Linked DNA regions of Nothobranchius furzeri. The protein of the gene in region 2 interacts with the protein of the main gene of each other region in a biochemical or structural test. Links are inferred from orthologs where the notes say so. Each region holds a gene or a part of one and is shown on either strand. Other genes may lie near its edges.

The links. The genes of interacting proteins can lie anywhere in the genome.
Region 1: the proteins of cd2bp2 (region 2) and lrrk1 form a complex in vitro, tested with the Homo sapiens proteins (2 studies listed by BioGRID and IntAct, with this or other methods). The link is inferred for Nothobranchius furzeri from reciprocal best matches to the Homo sapiens genes CD2BP2 and LRRK1.
Region 3: the proteins of cd2bp2 (region 2) and prpf6 form a complex in vitro, tested with the Homo sapiens proteins (2 studies listed by BioGRID and IntAct). The link is inferred for Nothobranchius furzeri from reciprocal best matches to the Homo sapiens genes CD2BP2 and PRPF6.

Annotation. Positions count from the first base shown.
Region 1 is NC_091749.1:7,094,964-7,101,672, forward strand, and holds the start of lrrk1 (leucine-rich repeat serine/threonine-protein kinase 1), read left to right. Parts: upstream 1-3,152; 5' UTR 3,153-3,266; intron 3,267-6,709.
Region 2 is NC_091745.1:8,816,475-8,821,672, reverse strand, and holds the end of cd2bp2 (CD2 antigen cytoplasmic tail-binding protein 2), read left to right. Parts: intron 1-1,114; coding exon 1,115-1,244; intron 1,245-1,379; coding exon 1,380-1,537; intron 1,538-1,616; coding exon 1,617-2,172; intron 2,173-2,247; coding exon 2,248-2,333; intron 2,334-3,326; coding exon 3,327-3,437; 3' UTR 3,438-3,609; downstream 3,610-5,198. Other genes in the region: prr14 (serine-rich adhesin for platelets), read left to right, coding at 5,186-5,198. UniProt on the Homo sapiens protein: Involved in pre-mRNA splicing as component of the U5 snRNP complex that is involved in spliceosome assembly.
Region 3 is NC_091755.1:59,887,920-59,894,571, forward strand, and holds the start of prpf6 (pre-mRNA-processing factor 6), read left to right. Parts: upstream 1-3,095; 5' UTR 3,096-3,150; coding exon 3,151-3,329; intron 3,330-3,511; coding exon 3,512-3,674; intron 3,675-3,754; coding exon 3,755-3,873; intron 3,874-4,004; coding exon 4,005-4,083; intron 4,084-4,334; coding exon 4,335-4,511; intron 4,512-4,887; coding exon 4,888-5,001; intron 5,002-5,079; coding exon 5,080-5,174; intron 5,175-5,259; coding exon 5,260-5,416; intron 5,417-5,500; coding exon 5,501-5,663; intron 5,664-6,652. UniProt on the Homo sapiens protein: Involved in pre-mRNA splicing as component of the U4/U6-U5 tri-snRNP complex, one of the building blocks of the spliceosome.

The DNA of each region.
Region 1 (6,709 bases), on a different chromosome or scaffold from region 2:
CAACGTACAGCGGATCATAATCGTAGGATTGCGGATCAACACCGGCGTCCAGCCCCTGCCTACGCCCCAGGAGACTTGGTTTGGCTCTCCTCCCGTGATATCAAGCTCCGGGACTCCTCCAGGAAGTTCTCTCCCCGTTACCTTGGTGCTTTCCCCATCGCAGCTGTTCTCAGTCCTGTCTCTGACCGCCTGACCATACCCCCGTCTATGAAGGTACACTATGTGTTTCATGTCTCGTTGCTCAAACCCGTTGTCTCCAGCCCCCTGTGTCCTCCTTCCGACCCTCCTCCGCTGGTCCGCCTTGCTGATCGTGGTCTCGGCTACAGGGTCCATCGCATCTTGGATGTCCGGCCACGTGGTCATCAGTTCCTTGTGGACTGGGAGGGGTATGGCCCAGAACACCGTCAATTGGGCCATTCCCATCTGTACCGGGTCGGCCCGGGCCGGGTAGCCCCAGTCGGCCCCAGCCTGGCCCGGTTGATTCCACACATCCTTGTCTTAAGCCCATGTGGGCTGATTCTACCCACCAATCAGAGGCTTGCTCTAATGGAAGGTGTGAATTTGCTGTCAGCAGTGGGTGTGTTGGCCCTGGTCGGCCTGAAGCAGACCCCCTCGAGAAGAGGGCTGAGAATGAGCCTTGGTTGGCCCGGAAAAATACCAGGCCACCCAGATATGTAAATAACCTACGCTACCCGGCCCGGGCCGACCCGGTACAGATGGGAATGGCCCAAATGGGTCCCGAGGTCCTGGATAGATGGCGTCTCCCTCATCTGGGACTTCGAGGCCTCCTGTTCTGCCTCCTCCTCCGTCTCCTCTGCTAGGCTGCCAGGTGGCATCCCTTGGGGGGGGGGGGGGGGGGGGGGTTACTGTACCAGCCTGCCCTGCTCACTATTCATTTCATTTAATACCCTGCAGTTGTCCCAGTTCTGTGTTAACAGGTGGGTGTGTCGGAGAGCCAGCTGTTCCTGATCTCCCTGATCAGAGGGCCAGGGGTACTTAAGGAGTGGTGTGATGCAACTCCAGTGCCAGTTGATACTCGCATCTTGGGTAAACACTAGCCAGTCGCAGTCTCATTTGAATTTTAATCAGTTTTAATCTTGTCTGCCCGTTCCAGTTCAGCCCTTATCTACTGAGTCCTGAAGGTTCCTGCTCGTCTGTTCACAGGAATCACCCACCGCCATCTGGAGTTGTTAATCCAACCTCACGTCGCTCACTGTCCTCCTGGTCTCCTCACTCTCCACCGCCCGCCTGTCGTCCTGCCCGCTTCCCAGCCTGCCTAACCACCAGCCTCCGGATCTGCATCATAACCTGCCTCACTGTCTGTCTCGCAACCTGTTTCCTCATCCCGTCCTGGATCCTCACTCTCTGCTGTTTGTCTGTCCCCACCTGGCCCCCAAAGACCCAGCCCTGCCTCACCAAAACTGATCATCTCCAGTAAGAATAACACTCCAAACAATTCTAGTTCTGGTTCTCTGGTTCCAGGGTTTCATGATTCTAACACCAGTTTGCTTTCTCATTCTAGATCTCGGTCCCTCCTGTTCCCATTTGGAGCAGCGTTTTCAGTTTCACATCGTTCTTAATAAATATTATTTGTTATTCACTTACCATCATTTCCGTCTGTGATTCTTTCATGTCCTGGGTAAAACATATTCCCAACATGACAGACAGCTAATTAAACTAAAACCAAGACAGCCATTTAGACATAAATTAGATTTACATACACTCTTTAGTTTTATAGAACCCTATAAAAAAATTGATTATGCTCTCGCACTCAACCTAACGCGCAAAATGGCTTAGCGGGACACATTGATCACAAATATGTTGTGTTTCGGAAACAAAAGCGGTAATTTCAACAAGTGCAAGTATCCCGTGTCAAGTGTATGTATCATACGGTTTGTAATAAGGCAAACCGTTTGTAAATGCATTAATATTTCATTGAGTTATAAGTATCTTTAGTTGAGCCGCACACTCACCTTCCAGCTAGAGAACGGTTAGCTGTCCGAAGTCAGATGGCCGCTGTGTAAGGACGCTGTCGACTCCCAGTTAGGGCATCTATATGACATCTATGACGGCGACTGGAGGTGAGCTCAAGTCGCCATTTTGCTGCAACCAGGTCCTTTTTATTTATTTATTTTTAACAAACCTTAATATGCAGTCAGAACATTACACTAATTACAAGTGATATTAAAAAAAAACATACATTTAACAGCTAGAACACATCCAGTCAGCTGAGATTTATAGAGGAGCCTATATTCACTCTTTTGATTGCTTTTGCATTGTGAGAATGTTGAATGGATAATAGATTTTGTTTTGTTTCACAGAGAAATTGCTGAAAACAAGGTTTTGCATTAGAACATTTTGTCTTATGAATTTGAAATTTAGCCAGCAATATTAATAAATTGGTTATCTAAAATTGGTCTGCTTTATTCACTGGGTAGTAGTAGAAACCTAATATCAACTTTTCCTTAGAGAGTGAAAAATCTTGAATAAAATACGTTATTACAAAAATATTAAATTCTTGTAAGAACTGACCAGAGAATGGACAAGACCAGATTAGATGTAGAACATCTTCATCTTGGAGGTTACAAAATAAACAGTCATTCATTTCCTTTTTTCGTCTTTTCAAAAAGGATTTTGTAGGATAGAAACGATGAATAATCTTGAAAGAAATCTTTTTTACTTTGTCAGTAGAAACTAGTTGGTAGAGTCCCAATCCTTCCCCAGTCCAGGTCATAAAACCAGTTGTTTCAGTGTACAGTAGTTAGAAGTACAGTATGAGTCTTTAGAAACAGAGATCTTATATCACGATTGTTTTTTGCAGCCCGGTCCTCTTGCTCCTACTTGGTTTCCAAAAATGTAGACCATAATACCCCTTGGCTGGCATTCTCTTTTCGGAACACCTGTTAAGTTATGCCCCACCAAAAAAAAAAAAAAAAAAAAACTCACCAGCTGCCACTGATGTTTACAGTCACGCATTGTCTCATGGAGAATACATTTCAAAGGTTTATAGTTCTAATTTAATGTAAACAATTACTTTTATAGATGTATTTTATTCATCCGTCTTACAGGTGAAAGAACCAGAACAGGATCCCGTTTACTTTGAAAGCCGCTGGTAAGCAAATGAGTCAAACATGACCCGGATGTGCACCTTTATTTTGAAAGGTTTTCAATAACGAAGGCACGCGTGTCGTCGTCGCGCGCGTCGATTTGTTTCGGTGTGTCAAGAAGCAGCAGGAAGTCAGACGCGGCTCTGGATCTCAGCCTGGGTGAGTTGGGTCATCAGAACCGTGAAGCAGGCGGGGTTTGGTGAGACTGGACCGGGTTGTGACTGAAACCGTGACTCGGCTGAACGTTTCCTGGAGAAATAAGTTAGAAAAGTGACATTCTGTTGTCGCACTTCCGCAACCGCGGCTCTTTCAACGGTTGTCATAAAAGCAGACTTATGTGGACCGGAACCAAATCAGAACCTTCAACCCGTCCGCGTTTATTGAAATCGTAGGATGTCCAAGAAAGGTCAGCTGTGACGTAATAAATCTTGTTTATGACGCTGTTGGACTAACTTTACATCAGTAGAAAACACCTGGAATGAGGTAAAACTGCCTCCTGTTGCCCTGCTTTGGCAGACTTCTGCAGGCACAGAAGCATTAGGTCACGAACCGGATTGTTCAAACATTAAGACATTACAGGAATTAAAATGGATTCTCAGTGACGTAAATGCTTTTCAGGAAATGTAATTTTAAATGTGTTTTTCTTTATTGTGATTCGCTGTAATATTGTATGATATATTTGAGTGACCACGTGGAACCATTTGGGTTATTATTCTGTTCCCACCGGTCATGTAGAACGGTAAACAAACCAGATGTTTGAGACGCAGGTGCGCTGGACCAGGAGCAAGTAATGCTGAGCGAAGTGGTCGGAAAACGACAAATTTAGGTAGAGCTGCTCAGTTATGGCAAAAATGATGATCACAATTATTTAGACTGACACTGAGATCTCAATCATTTAAGACGATTTTAAAGATTAATGTTTATTTTATTTATTTATTCTATCATAAAATGAACAGGACACAGTCAGGAAAAAATAAATAAGAAAAAGAAAAACAAGACGATCACAACAACTCTTGTTTCTTAGTATAAAAAAGCCAAACACTCACTCGTAGTTTATGGCCGAAGGGGTTTAGACTGATGTTTAAGCCTACCCAATACGAAACCAATTTGTTAAAATATTTTGCAAAAACTGACCGCAAGAGTTGTACAGTGCATTTATAAAAACAACCTCAATGAGCAGGCCTTTTTACATGACTTGGCAAAAGAACGATGACATAGAGTTAGCCTCGTTCCTACTGTTGAGGATGCTTGGTCACATTTAAAAACTCCATTATCTCCATTTTAGATTATATAAAGGCAGAGTTAAAAATGTTTCAGAACCAAGCATCAATCCTGGCAGATATCCATGAATATCTGCGACTTGCAATCCTTCAGATCTGTAACCAGCCAATCAGAAAAGCAAAATCTGAATATTATAAGAACCCGTTTCTGATGAATAGTTCAGACCCCAAAACTAAAAGGTACATTTCTTCAATAATCACTTAATCAAGTCCGATCATGCGTTTGCAACAGCCTCACCTGTCTCTGGGGTCTCTGACTCAGCTATATACAACGATTCCCCCTATGCAACCACTTCCTGTTTCTCCATTCAGGTGTTTAAGGTAAATGAGGTACTTGACGGTAGGGTTGTCACAATGTGAAAATTAGGGCTGGGGGTAAACGATTATTTTTAAAACGATTATTCTGACGTTTATTTGATCAAATAGTCGACTATTCTAATGACTATTTAGACGATTAATCTAATGATTATTTTTTATTGCACAGTTAATAAAAACCAATTAATCTCTCATAAATTCTTCAAAAAAATTGATAAATTGTTACTGTAAGAGAATAAACACTACAGGCCTTCCATTTTGTATAACACTGCTTTTATTGTGTTGAGGTTGGTTATGTTCTGGTGACGTGTAGAACTTGGGAGTGCAGGCTGCGAGGTGGTAGAAGATGGAGTGTCTCCATGCCGCTTTGTTTTGGTCACTTATGTGCGTGAGGCGAGTGGTGTTACGACCCTTCCTGGGGAGTTTGGCTCGTGTGCAAAAAGGAAGGGACATTAACGGGATTTAAAAGTTAAAATGATGATCAGGTTTATTTACAACTACAAAAAAACATGCATCTTTCCATCCACAGGTTGGGAATAATAAAACTAATTCTGCCTGTGGGGAATTAAAACAAAAGTACAAATAACTAGGGATGTCCCACTGGGCAAAGATTACAGGGTTCTGGACCAAAATAAGGATCTCCAAAGGTCCAAACTCTAAACTGGGCGGTTAAACCAAACTTAAGGTGATATTTTAAACTAAACCGAAACCCCACAACACTCTAAATGTAATAAAAGGGAGATCTACACCACAAAAAAGATGAACTCTTAACCAAAACGTAACAGGTTATCTAAACCCAAGAAGCTGCTAGCTAAAATGCTAACAGTAGCTTTACCAACGTTAAGTTCAAGTTACCAAGTTTAAATAAACCAAAACACCCACCAAATAGACCAGCACGGAGGAGAGACTGCTAGCACCAAAACAGCTCTCCTAATGTCTGAAAGAAGCTCCTTTATGACGGGAGAAACGCTCCCGGTGATTTTCTACATCTGCGATAGAGACGGAGCAGCGCATCTGACCCTGGAAGTAAAGGAATCTAGTAGGGGCTGGACATTGTTCCGGGTCTTCGGTATTTGGTGGAGATGTTAGTGAAGGCGGAGAAGAGGGCGAACTAGAGGAAAAACAGGCAGATTCCTCCTCTATTTACAAATTCCTGGGGATGCAACAAGTGGGCGTGGTGCGTCGACTACCGGATCTGACGTCGACAAATTTTTAGAATCGAGCCGTCGACGTTATCAAGGCTTCGATACAGCCCTAGTGAAAATGTAACCTCATTGTTATTGTGACCAAAATAATCAAGGTTTTTGGTATGATCGTGGTATTATCTTTTAAACGTTAGATTTTCAGACAACTAGATAAACCCTGTATATCAGGAAAATATTCTCAGTTTGTCTAAATGTAGCCATTTGTAATTATATTAACATTTTTACCTTTTTAGTCTTTAAAATACCAACATTTGCCCATAACTTCTTATGTTTGCCTGTTTGAGGTCATCATTTTAAAAATACGAGATCGGATGATACTCAGGACTCTAGCCTTCTAATTAAATACTTTTTTTACCCTTGAGTAATTTCTTGGACAGCTACTTTTACTCAAGTAAAAGGCGTTGAAATGGTGTTGCTCTTACTTGAGTACAGTAGTTGGCTACTCTATCCAGCCCCGCCTATGTATCAGGGGCACCCAAACTGTTTCCCTCAGTGGGACAAAGTAAAAATCTATATCTCCTACTCCAATTTATTATTTCATGATGTGTTGTTGGTCGTTTCGAGGGTATTAGGTGTACCAGTTATAGTGCCAGAAACGTGTTATATTTTATGACAACTAAATAAACCATCTATATCAGAATAGTTGTCCTCAGTTTGTGTCCTTCCAGTGAGCTTTGCAGATTTGGGAAAATGTCATCAGGCAGTAATGATTGTTAAATTAATAATAATGCGGAGAGAGACCAACTCTTATCCGCTCCTGGAACCTCGTTATGCATAGCGTTATTTCAATATGGAGGTGTCC
Region 2 (5,198 bases):
CCCGAGTTAATACAAAATTCAATTTTCAAACAACAGAATTAGCTTTTGGGCCTTGGCCTTTTGCTATGACACTTGTTTACCCCCCAACTGGAGGGCACTTGGGCTGAAAAAGGCTCTTCAAAGCAACCTGGCCCTATGAGCAAAACATGATTGACTCCTGATTAAAACAACTGCAATCAAGCTTTTGTGATCATGGGTGATGAATTGTTTTGATGCAGTGGAGTGGAGCTGTTCAGGCGTTCTTCAGAAATTTCCGGTAGTGAGCAGAATTTTGCTTGTATGATTTTTTTCACAGCTCTTAAGTAAGATTACTTTTAATCAAATTTATGATGAGCACCCCCCCGGATAATCCTAAACCCTCCAACTCGAAGGCTCCAAGTATGACCTATTTTAACCTATTTTGTCCTACATCATTTTACATTCAGTGTTGCAGCAAGTAGACTCGCACAAGGCCTCTGCACAGAAAATAAATATTAAAATGAAAGTAAAATATCAGTATTAAAATGAGATATACAATTACAACAATATACAATCAAAACATGAAGTGAGTCGGATAACAGTTCAGTCTTACAGGACTATGCTTTAGCATATTTCTGACTCAAACGTGCCAAATCCCATACAGCAGCTGAATGCACCATTTAAACAAGTTGAATCAGATCTCTGTACTATTTTAGACTTTTTGCTGCTGGCATGTCTTATAAAGACTTTATTGAAACAGTTTAGTAGCAACAAGAATGGTAACTAACAATCTTCCATTTCAGTTTTCCACAATTCTCAGAATATTGTACATTTCCTATTTATTCTGAGTGGTTTGCCTTTTGAACTAAAGACTCTTTATTTTTTTAACCACTCATATCTTTGAGTTTTCTATTTTTCTATCACTTTCAGCAAATTGTTTAACCAGTGACACATTAATGCCTTTGTTTTTTACAGCAAAAGTAGTAATAGTGGTACTTGTGCCGCAGCACTGACCCATGGGTTTAGGGGTTTGTCTTCAGACACAATGCATTTTTACTTTTAATGCAAAGATCAGAACTTTGCTTTTGACTCTACGTTTACTGGTTATACTGCTATTTTGTATTTAGTTCATCATTTTCTTTTGCTGTAATTGCAGAGCTGTGAGGCTGTCAGTGGACCAGGCTCCAGGTTTAAGGGTAAACACTCCCTTGACAGTGACGAAGAGGATGATGGAGAGGACACAAACAACAGCAAATACAATATTCTTGACAATGATGATGTGGAGGGTATGTCTTGTTAAGTATTTCCATTATACTTTTGAAGTTGTAAACTGGGTCCAGTTTTCCTTAGGCTGTGTGAAGCAATGTTTTTTGTTAAATGCTTTTTGTGGTGAATTGGGGTGGTGCCACCTTTGTTTCCAGGCCAAGAAGGAGCGACTATTGACTTTGACGAAGGAGTTTCTATTACACCTTTCAACCTGGAAGAGGAGATGCAGGAAGGCCACTTTGATTCAGAGGGAAACTATTTCATCAAAAAGGAAACACAAATTAGAGACAACTGGCTCGACAACATAGACTGGGTAATTGCATTCTCAGACAAATGATTATTTAATGGAAGCTCTGCATTTTGCAGTAAGTGAAGTATCTGTTTTCTTGCAGGTGAAAATAAAAGAGCAGCCTATTAAGAAAAAGAAAGGTCTTGCAGCCAAACGGAAACGCAGAGTCGGTGATGAAGATGAGGCAGAGGAAGAGAAACGAAGGGAAGAACAGCAGGCAAACCAGGAGGATGAAGAGGAGGAGGAGATGCCTGCAGAGGACCCGTTGGCTGCCTACACTCAACAGCAGCTTGTTGAAGCTGTTGTTGAACTGCTGCAGCCTGGAGAAACGGTCGCCGCGGCGCTCCGTCGGTTAGGAGGCCTTGGAGGGCGCAAGAAGGGAAAGCTGAGAGAAGAAAACCAGTCCACAGAGGAAGCTTCAAGAGACACGGAAAAGCTGGATAGGCTCACAGCTTTAGCTGACAGGCTGGTTGGATCTGGGATGTTTGAAATCTATCAGCAGAGCTATGAAAAACTGGCCTACGTGATGAAAAGCATGACCAGCAAGAAGCCAGCAGTGAGGCAGACGAAAAGTGACGATGAGGAAGAAGATGAGCTTGACATGTTTGGTGATAAGTTTGATGAGAAGATTGGTGAGAAAGAAGAGGATGACAACCAAGGTTCTTTCCTTCATGCTTATAAATGATTAAGTTCAGAAGAAGGTTACTTACCTCGATTCCCCTTTTTCTTCTCAGTGAGTGATGAAGTGATGTGGGAATACAAATGGGAAAATGAGGAAAAATCTGAGGTCTATGGGCCATTCACCAGCCAGCAGATGCAGGTATTACTACTATTTTAGCTCTGACGTGTTAAATGCCCAACTTCCAAACTGATGTGGATTAAGAGGGTTTTCCTTTTTATTACGAATGTAGATTCTTGTGTGTCTGTGAGGAATTCAGAACACTTACCGGGCTTTTCCACCTGACACATTAGCATCACATAACGTCTGCAAAGCACCCTGCAACGTCCGCGAAGTGTAGTACACAGCAAATAGCCGCCGTCACAGTGGGTGCGTTTCCACCGACTGCTTAGCGCCAACGTTTTTGAGGCATCCCAGAAGCGTAGTGACGCGTTGCTCCGTTAAATTTATGCTTCCATTCTTATTTTTGTTAGCACTGTGCTTTCGTGCTGTGCTTTCATGACATGTCAGTCTCAGCCATTCAGATCAGGACAAACACAGGAGCACTGGGAAACATCTGGACACTTTAAAAATAATAAAAGACACGTGCCGATTTCCAGTTGCTTGTTTAAAATAGTTGTGATGCCTCTGTAGCCGAGGTAAACCCAACACAAAACAAACCACAGGTCTTTTTCAGACAAATGCTGCCGTCTTTCCTCTTCATTGTTACTGCGTGAACTTCCAGTTCTCTGGTGATTTCGTGATCTCGTGGGTTCAGCTGTTGGTGATGTTTTTGCCGCTGTTTCATTTCTGAAACGCTCCCAGTAGGAAGGGACAAGCGACTGAGATTGGAGGTCAAATGCTTCTATTACGTTACGCGACGCTTATGCATTCAGTGGAAATTAGGGGTTAGGCAGTGAGTAGTCTGATTTTAATTTTTTATTTTTTCTTGTACATTTATATTTTAAAAGAAAACATAAGTATAACACCTCATACATTTAAATGCAATGTTTTAAACATGTATTTTATTTATTTCCCTCCTCAAAATACCAATAATTCCATCATTTAATCTAAATAATTGAATTGTTGACTGGTTGTCTCATTAACCCCAGTCTGACCTAGTGGGCTTTTATTTTCTTACTGCTGTGTTTTCAGGGCTGGGTGGATGAAGGCTATTTTAGCAGCGGCGTCTACTGCAGGAGGGTGGATCAGGACGGATCTCAGTTCTACAACTCCAGAAGAATAGACTTTGACCTCTTCACATGAATTATGTACACCATCAGATGAAAAACAGCCCTCTTGAATTTTGTCACCACTCATGTTTTACTTGGATTTTCTCTGTTTATACACCAGGGTTTGGAGGAGAATTGGTCCATTCATTTTAGCCCTGCCTTTGTTTTCTGCAGATAGTTTTTAAATAAAAGGCTTGTGTGCATCATTGCTGAAATTCTATTCTTTCTTTTTCTGAAGCAAGGACACAGCTTGTAAATGCTGATTATTCATATACACTGCAGTTTTACATTTTATTGTTGCCCTTAATAACGTGTTTACATTTAAAGTTAGAAAACATGAGCACAGGGAAATCAGGGCAATGTAAGTTATTTTCTGTCGGAATAATTTTATTACAGTATTTAGGCAGAGTTGGAAAATGCCTAATAACCAAAATAAACCATTCCCCAGTAAATATGCACATTAATTTCGTAATGTGAATTTAAATTCGTCCTTAGATGGTTTTAAGCTTGAGCTTTATGCTTTTTTAAGTTATCAGAGAGGCGATATGAAAGGAATAGTGTCCGCTTTATCAACATTGCGTTTTAAATGTGTTAAACCGTTTCCTGAATGTGTGTCAAGTTATTAAAAAAACTCGCTTATGACGCTAGATATACAAGAATTCGTGAATTTTTCCGATGCTCCTATTGGCTGGCCTCAACCAGCGACCCTGACAGACGCAACATGATTGGTCAGCTTTCAAAGAGGCGTTTCGAGTGGAAACCAACCCTGAACTGTGATTGGCTGGGCTGATTGTTAGATTTGTAAAAACGGATACATTTTCTACTCGCAGTAGGGCGCCGTCTTTTCGTCATGTTTTGTTTACGGCGGGTTTGGCTTTCACCCCCACGGTCCAGTTACAGCTTTTAGGTGAGTTTATCTAATGGTTTTTATTTGCTGTCAACGTGTTCATGCAAGCTACATAACGAGAATATTCCCACAAATCCCGTAAGCACCAAAGAACGTGTAGAGAAATGACAGTTGTGGGCTACGACTATTAACTGGAACAGAAACTGCCACACTGTGTGTCCCTGTCGGCTATACAGCCATGGAGAGCTGACGGAGTTCGGATGAAAGTCAGCTACGACAACATTTGGGACAGTTTTAACGGTTAGGTTTTTGTCTGTTGTTGTTTTTTGTCGGCGGCTCACAATAAAGGTAAATAAAAAAAATTTCTCCAGTAAGTAGACTACGCTCAGTTTTGATCCGACAGCATCTGAAAACCTCGCAGCAAATAGCTGCTATGCATTTCATTTAGATGTAACATTATAAGGTGATTATTGAGTGTTTCCCGTGGCTTGGTGAAGGTTGTAGGATTTCGGCTGAACAACTTTGGCGCTAACACGGTGCAGCCTAGAGAGGGGGTCTAATATGTGCCACTTTGGAGGAAGGACTGCAGTTGTTAAAATCACAAAAGCTTATTTTCTTGGCTAAGTTTTAACACGATGACTGTCTCCCTTAACACTGACTGCGCATTGTTCTGTTGAAATCCATATGAATGATTTTGTCCTCAATACTGTTGATTAAAATCTTAACTGTAATCTAGTTGAAGTTGCCACTAATTCTCCCTTTGAGTTTGCTTCCAGTTAAAAAAATCTAAAGTATAATTTCTCAGCAAACATTCTGAAAATCTGGTTACTTTTTTATCTGAATCAGGTCTTGGTCTTGTAGTATTTTAGTAAGTTAAGACAAAACTGTATGCACAACCAGTTGTCCTATTTTTTTCCTGTGTGTGTATGTTTCAGATGAATATGGATG
Region 3 (6,652 bases), on a different chromosome or scaffold from region 2:
CACTACCAGCGAGTGAATGTGTGTGTGTGAATGGATGAATGATGCACTGTAGCTATGGAGTCCTCTGGTTTGCGCTATACAAGTGTGGGTCATTTATCATTATTTGTAAAGCTTGTGGGGTTGATTTTTAACACAGCAGCCTTTTAGTGAGTCATATTCTGTGTCTGCTATATCAGCTAATCCCAGAAAATCATGTGAATTTAAATTTTTTAAGTAATGAAACGTCAACCAGCCCAAAGGAATGTTTCCCTTTCTCAGCAGTTATTCTAAAAACAGACAATCTAAGTATTAGCTGTGATTTTTCAATGCTTTGTTGTTGCGCCAAGGTTATTGGATCAGGATTTAACAGCTCTGGATGGATGTTTGTAAAAGGATGCCCTGGTAATTAACTGCTACTCTTTCCCCGTCAGAATAAAACATGGTCTTTAATCAGCAAGATGGAAAACTGAGGCTTTTTGTGAGTTTGAAATCAAACATTTTTAGCAAGCAGACGACTTTCATATTGTGTTAAAATAATATTCCCATGTCCTAGTGTGGTTTTTTTGCCCATGTTGCCACACTTGATCTAATGAGCTAAAATGAACTGACAGTGGGGTCTGAGCAGTGTGAAACATGTTTCTTTGTGTGTATGAATGTGTGTTTGTGCATGAAGCACACAGCAGATCAATAAAAATGTCTACTTGACACGTTTCCTCCAGCGTTTCTGTTGAGCAAAGAGCCGCTTTCGCTCTGGAAACCAACAACAAACGGGATACGCTGCTGTTTGCTAGAATATCTGCTTCTCTTTATATATTTCTACATGCTGCTTTACACCTACACCGCCATAATCACCATTATATGTGAGCAATTGTGCAGCTTTCCATGCAGCATATAATTGCATCATAAATTAAAGTGTTTTTTGTTCAATTTAGAGTGGTTTCTTTTAATTTCTCAAGTCTGAATACATTTCTGCACAAATGAGGTGATTAGTCTTTGTTAAAAAGTTGGACAGTTCATTGGATGGTTGTCTTTCAGCTCTTTTGTACAAAGATGCTTGGTGACGATCCATTTATTTCCTTGTTTGTGCATCAGTCACAGTCTGAATGGACCATAACACATATTAAATGTGCTAATAGAAAATGACACGTTGTATCTATGCATTAGTATTGTATTATCTAGGCCATATTTGTGCCTTTATCATGATGCAAATTAATCTGAAGCAGAAAGTTTCCAGCTCACTGCTGTATTCACCAGAAACACTGCCAACAATTTTATGGCAGCGAATCAACGGAAATTATGACAGTATGATCTCTGGCAACGCCACGGTCCCTCAGCCATCCCTCACAGAAACGTGCTTTCTTCTGCTGCCACACACACATGCATGCACACACACATTTCAATCAGCCAAGATGGCAGTTTGAAAAGTTTCTGTGTGTGCGTTTGTGTGTGAGGTAGTAAGAGGGCTAATTGTGTCTTTGGAAACAAAATTTTTAAAATAAAACCACCATTGTTTATGTGAAACACACATCATTTTGGCTTCTGGAGCACAGCACAGCAGAATACAATTATTTCATTTTATTAAAATTATTCAGGGTGTATGCATCATGCACATGGGGGAAAAATGTGGTGTTAATATTGGCCTGTATCAGGAATGACTTTCCATTTATCATCCTGACATCGACCTTGATCAGCTATCTGTAGGTCAGCTTTGAGATAAACACACACATGATATGTGGCTCTTTCCTTTAGTCATATATAAATGTGCATTTTATTGTGTTCTAATTATTCAATCAAAACAAAATCATCATTTAAAGACTCACAAGGACATAAAACACACTGATGGGAGGAAATGCAGTTTGAATTAAGCTTCATATTTAAATCTGTCCTTGTACATGTGAACCACCTAGCATCTAATCCATCTGACGGTCAATTTTCTTCCCTAACATCCTCTCCCACGGGTAAAATAACACCATCCCTTCAGGCGATGTAAATGAAGAAAGATGTAGAGGCTGGATCCCAGGCTAGGAGTGAAGACGGCTGAAGTTAATGCGATTGAAACTAATTGATGAATGGTTTCACATCATCTCATGAGATAGATCCCAAAAATGTCATGTTAGCATGTAATTACTTATTGCACTCTGGCATCTCTGTTTGAGTGTAGGTTTCTGAACCTGAAATGTCAGATGAGTTATTGATGTAGCATGTTGGCATGTGTCTAATGGGAATTAATGGAAATCATCACAAATGCATGGCTCATTTGACCTAAAACTATGTACATTACAAGCAATATAATATATGTGCAGTCAGACAGGCAAGGAGTGAAAATATTGTATTCAATTTTCAAACAGCATAAAAAATGATGTATTTCTTTCAATTTGGCAACCTAATTATCTGTGGGATCAAATGTCATCTGAGTCATCCTTGTCTTAATTAGGGCTGCAGGTCCATTAGTTGTTTCTGTAAACAATGTCTAGGTAATAATTTTTTACTAAACAAACTAGAGAGGAAATGACAACAGTATGTATGAGTATTTATCTTACTCTACCCTACCTCCACTTCAAACTCTAACCCAGGACTGCCAACGTAGGAGTGAGACAGCTTTTCTTTTTTTTTTTTTTTTTTTTTTTTTTAATGAACCAGATACTGATGAGGCATTCTGCATTAGGCCAGTCAAAAATGACCGTTCTCAGTTTTGCACAACTTGAGGTGGTTCATTTAGGATGGATGAAGATACTATGATTTATCTAGTTTTTCTTTTTATATCTTAAAATTGAGTATAAATAAATATCACGTGTGTGTGTGTGTGTGTGTGTGTGTGTGTGTGTGTGTGTGTGTGTGTGTTTATGTTGTATATAAACATTGTATATATGCATGTATATAAGTATATATTTTTCCCTCATTGTACTATTTTAGACAATTGTGTTTTGGTGTTTAGAGTAGCATATCCTAAAAGATAAATACTATTTACTCAGTTTAACTTTATTCCATCTAATTGTATTTTTATTTTATTTTCTACAGTTTGGCGCACCCGTGTGGCAAACTTTAGCGGTCAATCAATCAGCCCGTCCTGTTGGGGGCGCTGTAACAGAAAACAAGAAAAAGGAAGGAGTCGAGAGCGGAAGTTAAACTGTTGTTCATCTGCTAGTGAGTGTGCACGTCGTTGCAGCAACGATGGCTACCTCTGGAGCAAAACAAACACCTAAACTTGTCTCCAAAACCAGCGCGGGGGGCACAGGGGCGAGTGGCGCGCCCCCTGTAATACCTCTTGCCTCTCCGCTTATGGGGAAAAAGAAGAAGCCGTTTCTGGGGATGCCCGCTCCGCTAGGTTACGTTCCTGGTCTCGGCAGAGGGTAAGCTAATTTGATGCTAAGTCGTTAGCTCCTCCAGTTGCGTGTTTGTTGACAACTTGAATTGTCCACCTTCTGCATGCAGTGTCAAATAAAACAACATTTTAAATACATTATAACAATGGTTTGTGCTGTTTGCAACAAAGGACAAATCTCCGATCTTAAGGGTTATGTTGCGGTTTCAGTGCCACAGGATTCACCACCCGGTCCGACATCGGTCCTGCTCGGGATGCCAACGACCCCGTGGATGATCGGCATGCTCCCCCAGGGAAGAGGACGGTTGGTGACCAGATGAAGAAGAATCAGGATGATGATGACGAAGATCTAAACGACACCAACTATGACGAGGTCTCAATAACTAAATGCTTTTGTTGGCATTTAATACTTCAGTGCATCCAGTCAATAACTCCTGTTTGCTCCTTGTACAGTTTAATGGTTACGCTGGCAGCTTGTTCTCCAGTGGGCCTTATGAAAAGGACGATGAAGAAGCAGATGCTATATATGCGGCACTTGACAAGAGAATGGATGAACGGCGCAAAGAAAGAAGGTAAACTATAAAACTAATCTACCTCTTGACCAAAAAAGACCAAACACCTACAAAATAAGTGCACAGAGCATCCCTTTTTCATCCCTGTGTTGATTTAATGTGTTTCTGATACTGTCTGTGGTTGCTCGTAGGGAGCTGAGAGAAAAGGAAGAAATAGAAAAATATCGTATGGAGCGTCCTAAAATCCAACAGCAGTTCTCAGATCTGAAGGTAAGTTTTCCACATTTATTCTATTGTATTCACGATGCCATTATTTTTAGGTATCTATCTTTAATGCATTTTGTGCAGGTTAACAGCTGACTCTGCATACTGATTTGTTTGCATTCATGTTTTTGTGCTTTTAAACAAATTTGTGATCTTATTTGCCATTTGTGAAATGGTAATGCAAAGGCACATGAAATTACAATTATTAATCTCTCTTAGGATCAGACACGCATCTCTGTTTTATCATTTAATTACAGAGAAAACTAGCAGAGGTGTCGGAGGAGGAGTGGCTGAGCATCCCTGAAGTTGGAGATGCCAGGAACAAGCGACAGAGGAATCCTCGCTTTGAGAAGCTCACCCCGGTCCCTGACAGCTTCTTCTCTAAACACCTGCAGACCGGAGAAAACCACACATCTGTTGATCCGTTACAAGGGGTTAGTAGTCATGAAAACACACTACAAGCAGGTCACCGAACATTTGTTGTAGTTTCACCTTGCCCCAGCAGGAGTCAGAATAACTGTTCAGAGATGTGCAGCCATGCATTATATTGTCAGTAAATATCTGCTTAAGAGCATCAACCTCATGTTTAAACTTGAAACTATTCATTTATCTACTTGATTTCATGCATGCAATGTTTAAATACTTTAACTGGAAACAGCAGTGTTTACTTAGACAGAGCTGGCTCCATGTTTAGTTCTGCAGAATATAAAGCATCTTTTACGTGTGTCAGTTATAGCTGTGAGAAAGGATTCAGCTTTCTTTAGCTGTTCACACACGCTGTAACACAATTCCTGCTTTCTGTCTTGGTAGCTGGGCGGTCTGAACACACCATACCCAGGCAGCATGACTCCTGGAACTGGAGACTTGGATATGAGGAAAATCGGTCAAGCCAGAAACACTCTCATGGATATGAGGCTCAGTCAGGTAGACCTATCTAAATCCTGAGCTTCTTTCACATTTATCAAGATTTTACCTGTTTTTATTGTTTTTCTCTCCACTAAGGTGTCTGATTCAGTCAGTGGACAGACAGTGGTGGATCCTAAGGGTTACCTGACAGATCTCAACTCCATGATCCCCACTTATGGAGGAGACATCAGGTATAGAAAAGTTGCCCATAGGAAAATTTCCTTTTGAAATAACTTCTTATGTGTGTTTGATGAATTACACCTAAATCTCACCCAGCGACATCAAGAAGGCTCGCCTGCTGTTGAAATCTGTGAGAGAGACTAATCCCCATCACCCGCCGGCCTGGATTGCTTCTGCCAGGCTTGAAGAGGTGACGGGCAAGCTGCAGGTCGCCAGGAACTTGATCATGAAGGGCACAGAGATGTGTCCTAAGGTAAAAGGGGTGTCTGCTTTGGTTCCATGCACAAAGGCTAGATGCTGATAACCTTCAATAACAAAATATCTCTCTCTTAACCAGAGTGAGGACGTGTGGCTAGAGGCAGCAAGGCTCCAACCTGGTGATACGGCTAAAGCTGTGGTTGCTCAGGCTGTTCGCCACCTCCCACAGTCTGTCCGCATCTACATCAGGGCTGCTGAGCTCGAAACAGACATCCGTGCTAAGAAGAGGGTCCTCAGAAAGGGTAAGGCTTTTAATTTTGCTTTCTCTGTCTGCAACTATCATCAGAAGCTTCTCACTGCTTTGTGGTTATAAACGGAGGTTCACGTTCCTTCCCAGCAGCTCGTGTGTGAATGAGTTTGATTCTGCTGCGAAAAGGACGACACTCATTTCTCCAGGGCTGAAATTCAAAGCCAGTCTCAATCTGTTGATTGTCTCATGAAATCACCCTCACAAAGCTATCGGAGTTACACTTGGCTGCTGTGTTTCTGGCTCCTTGTCAAGGCCAGGCTCTGTGCTTAACCAGGGTGTCAGTGCCCCGACACACACATGCACACACAGGCTCACGCGTACCAATATTTCCCAGCAGCATACCCGACTGACAGAGATGGATGGAAGTTTCCTCTTGAGGAAGAGCCCTCTCCGCCTCTACTTGTTCAAACGCCTCTGCTCTGCTTTACTTAATTGCACAAAAAACACACCGCTAACTTTATTACACTTTAATGCAAACACACCACCATCACACACACTGCATTTCATTCGTCTTGACTAAGTAATTTTCTTTTGGAAAGAGCATTCTGGGGTTTTGAAATATGTAGAACCAGAAAATATTAGTAAATTCAGAGTCACATTATTAGATGCTGCTGATTTGAGAATCGGTGCACAAATGGTGCCACTGAATAAATAACTTCCCCACTCAGGCTCTATACCATGTTTAATTGCAGATCCCAGCTGTTAATTTGTTATTCCTGAGGCGTTTAGGCTAGTAAAACTGTTAAAGGCTAAAGGATTCTGCTTCTGACTGATGATTCTGGACCCAAGCAATGTGAAGATTGCGTTAGGTTTATTGTAAACTGTGTTTGTACGGCCTGTTAGGATTGTTAGATTGGTAAAATAGTTCCAGTGCTGTTTTTGTTTTTTAAGAGCAAAGTGTTGCAGGTCTCCTACAGCTCAGGAACAATTGTCATGACAGCAGTCGGTGTTTACATTAGGGCTGCAACTAACGACTATTTT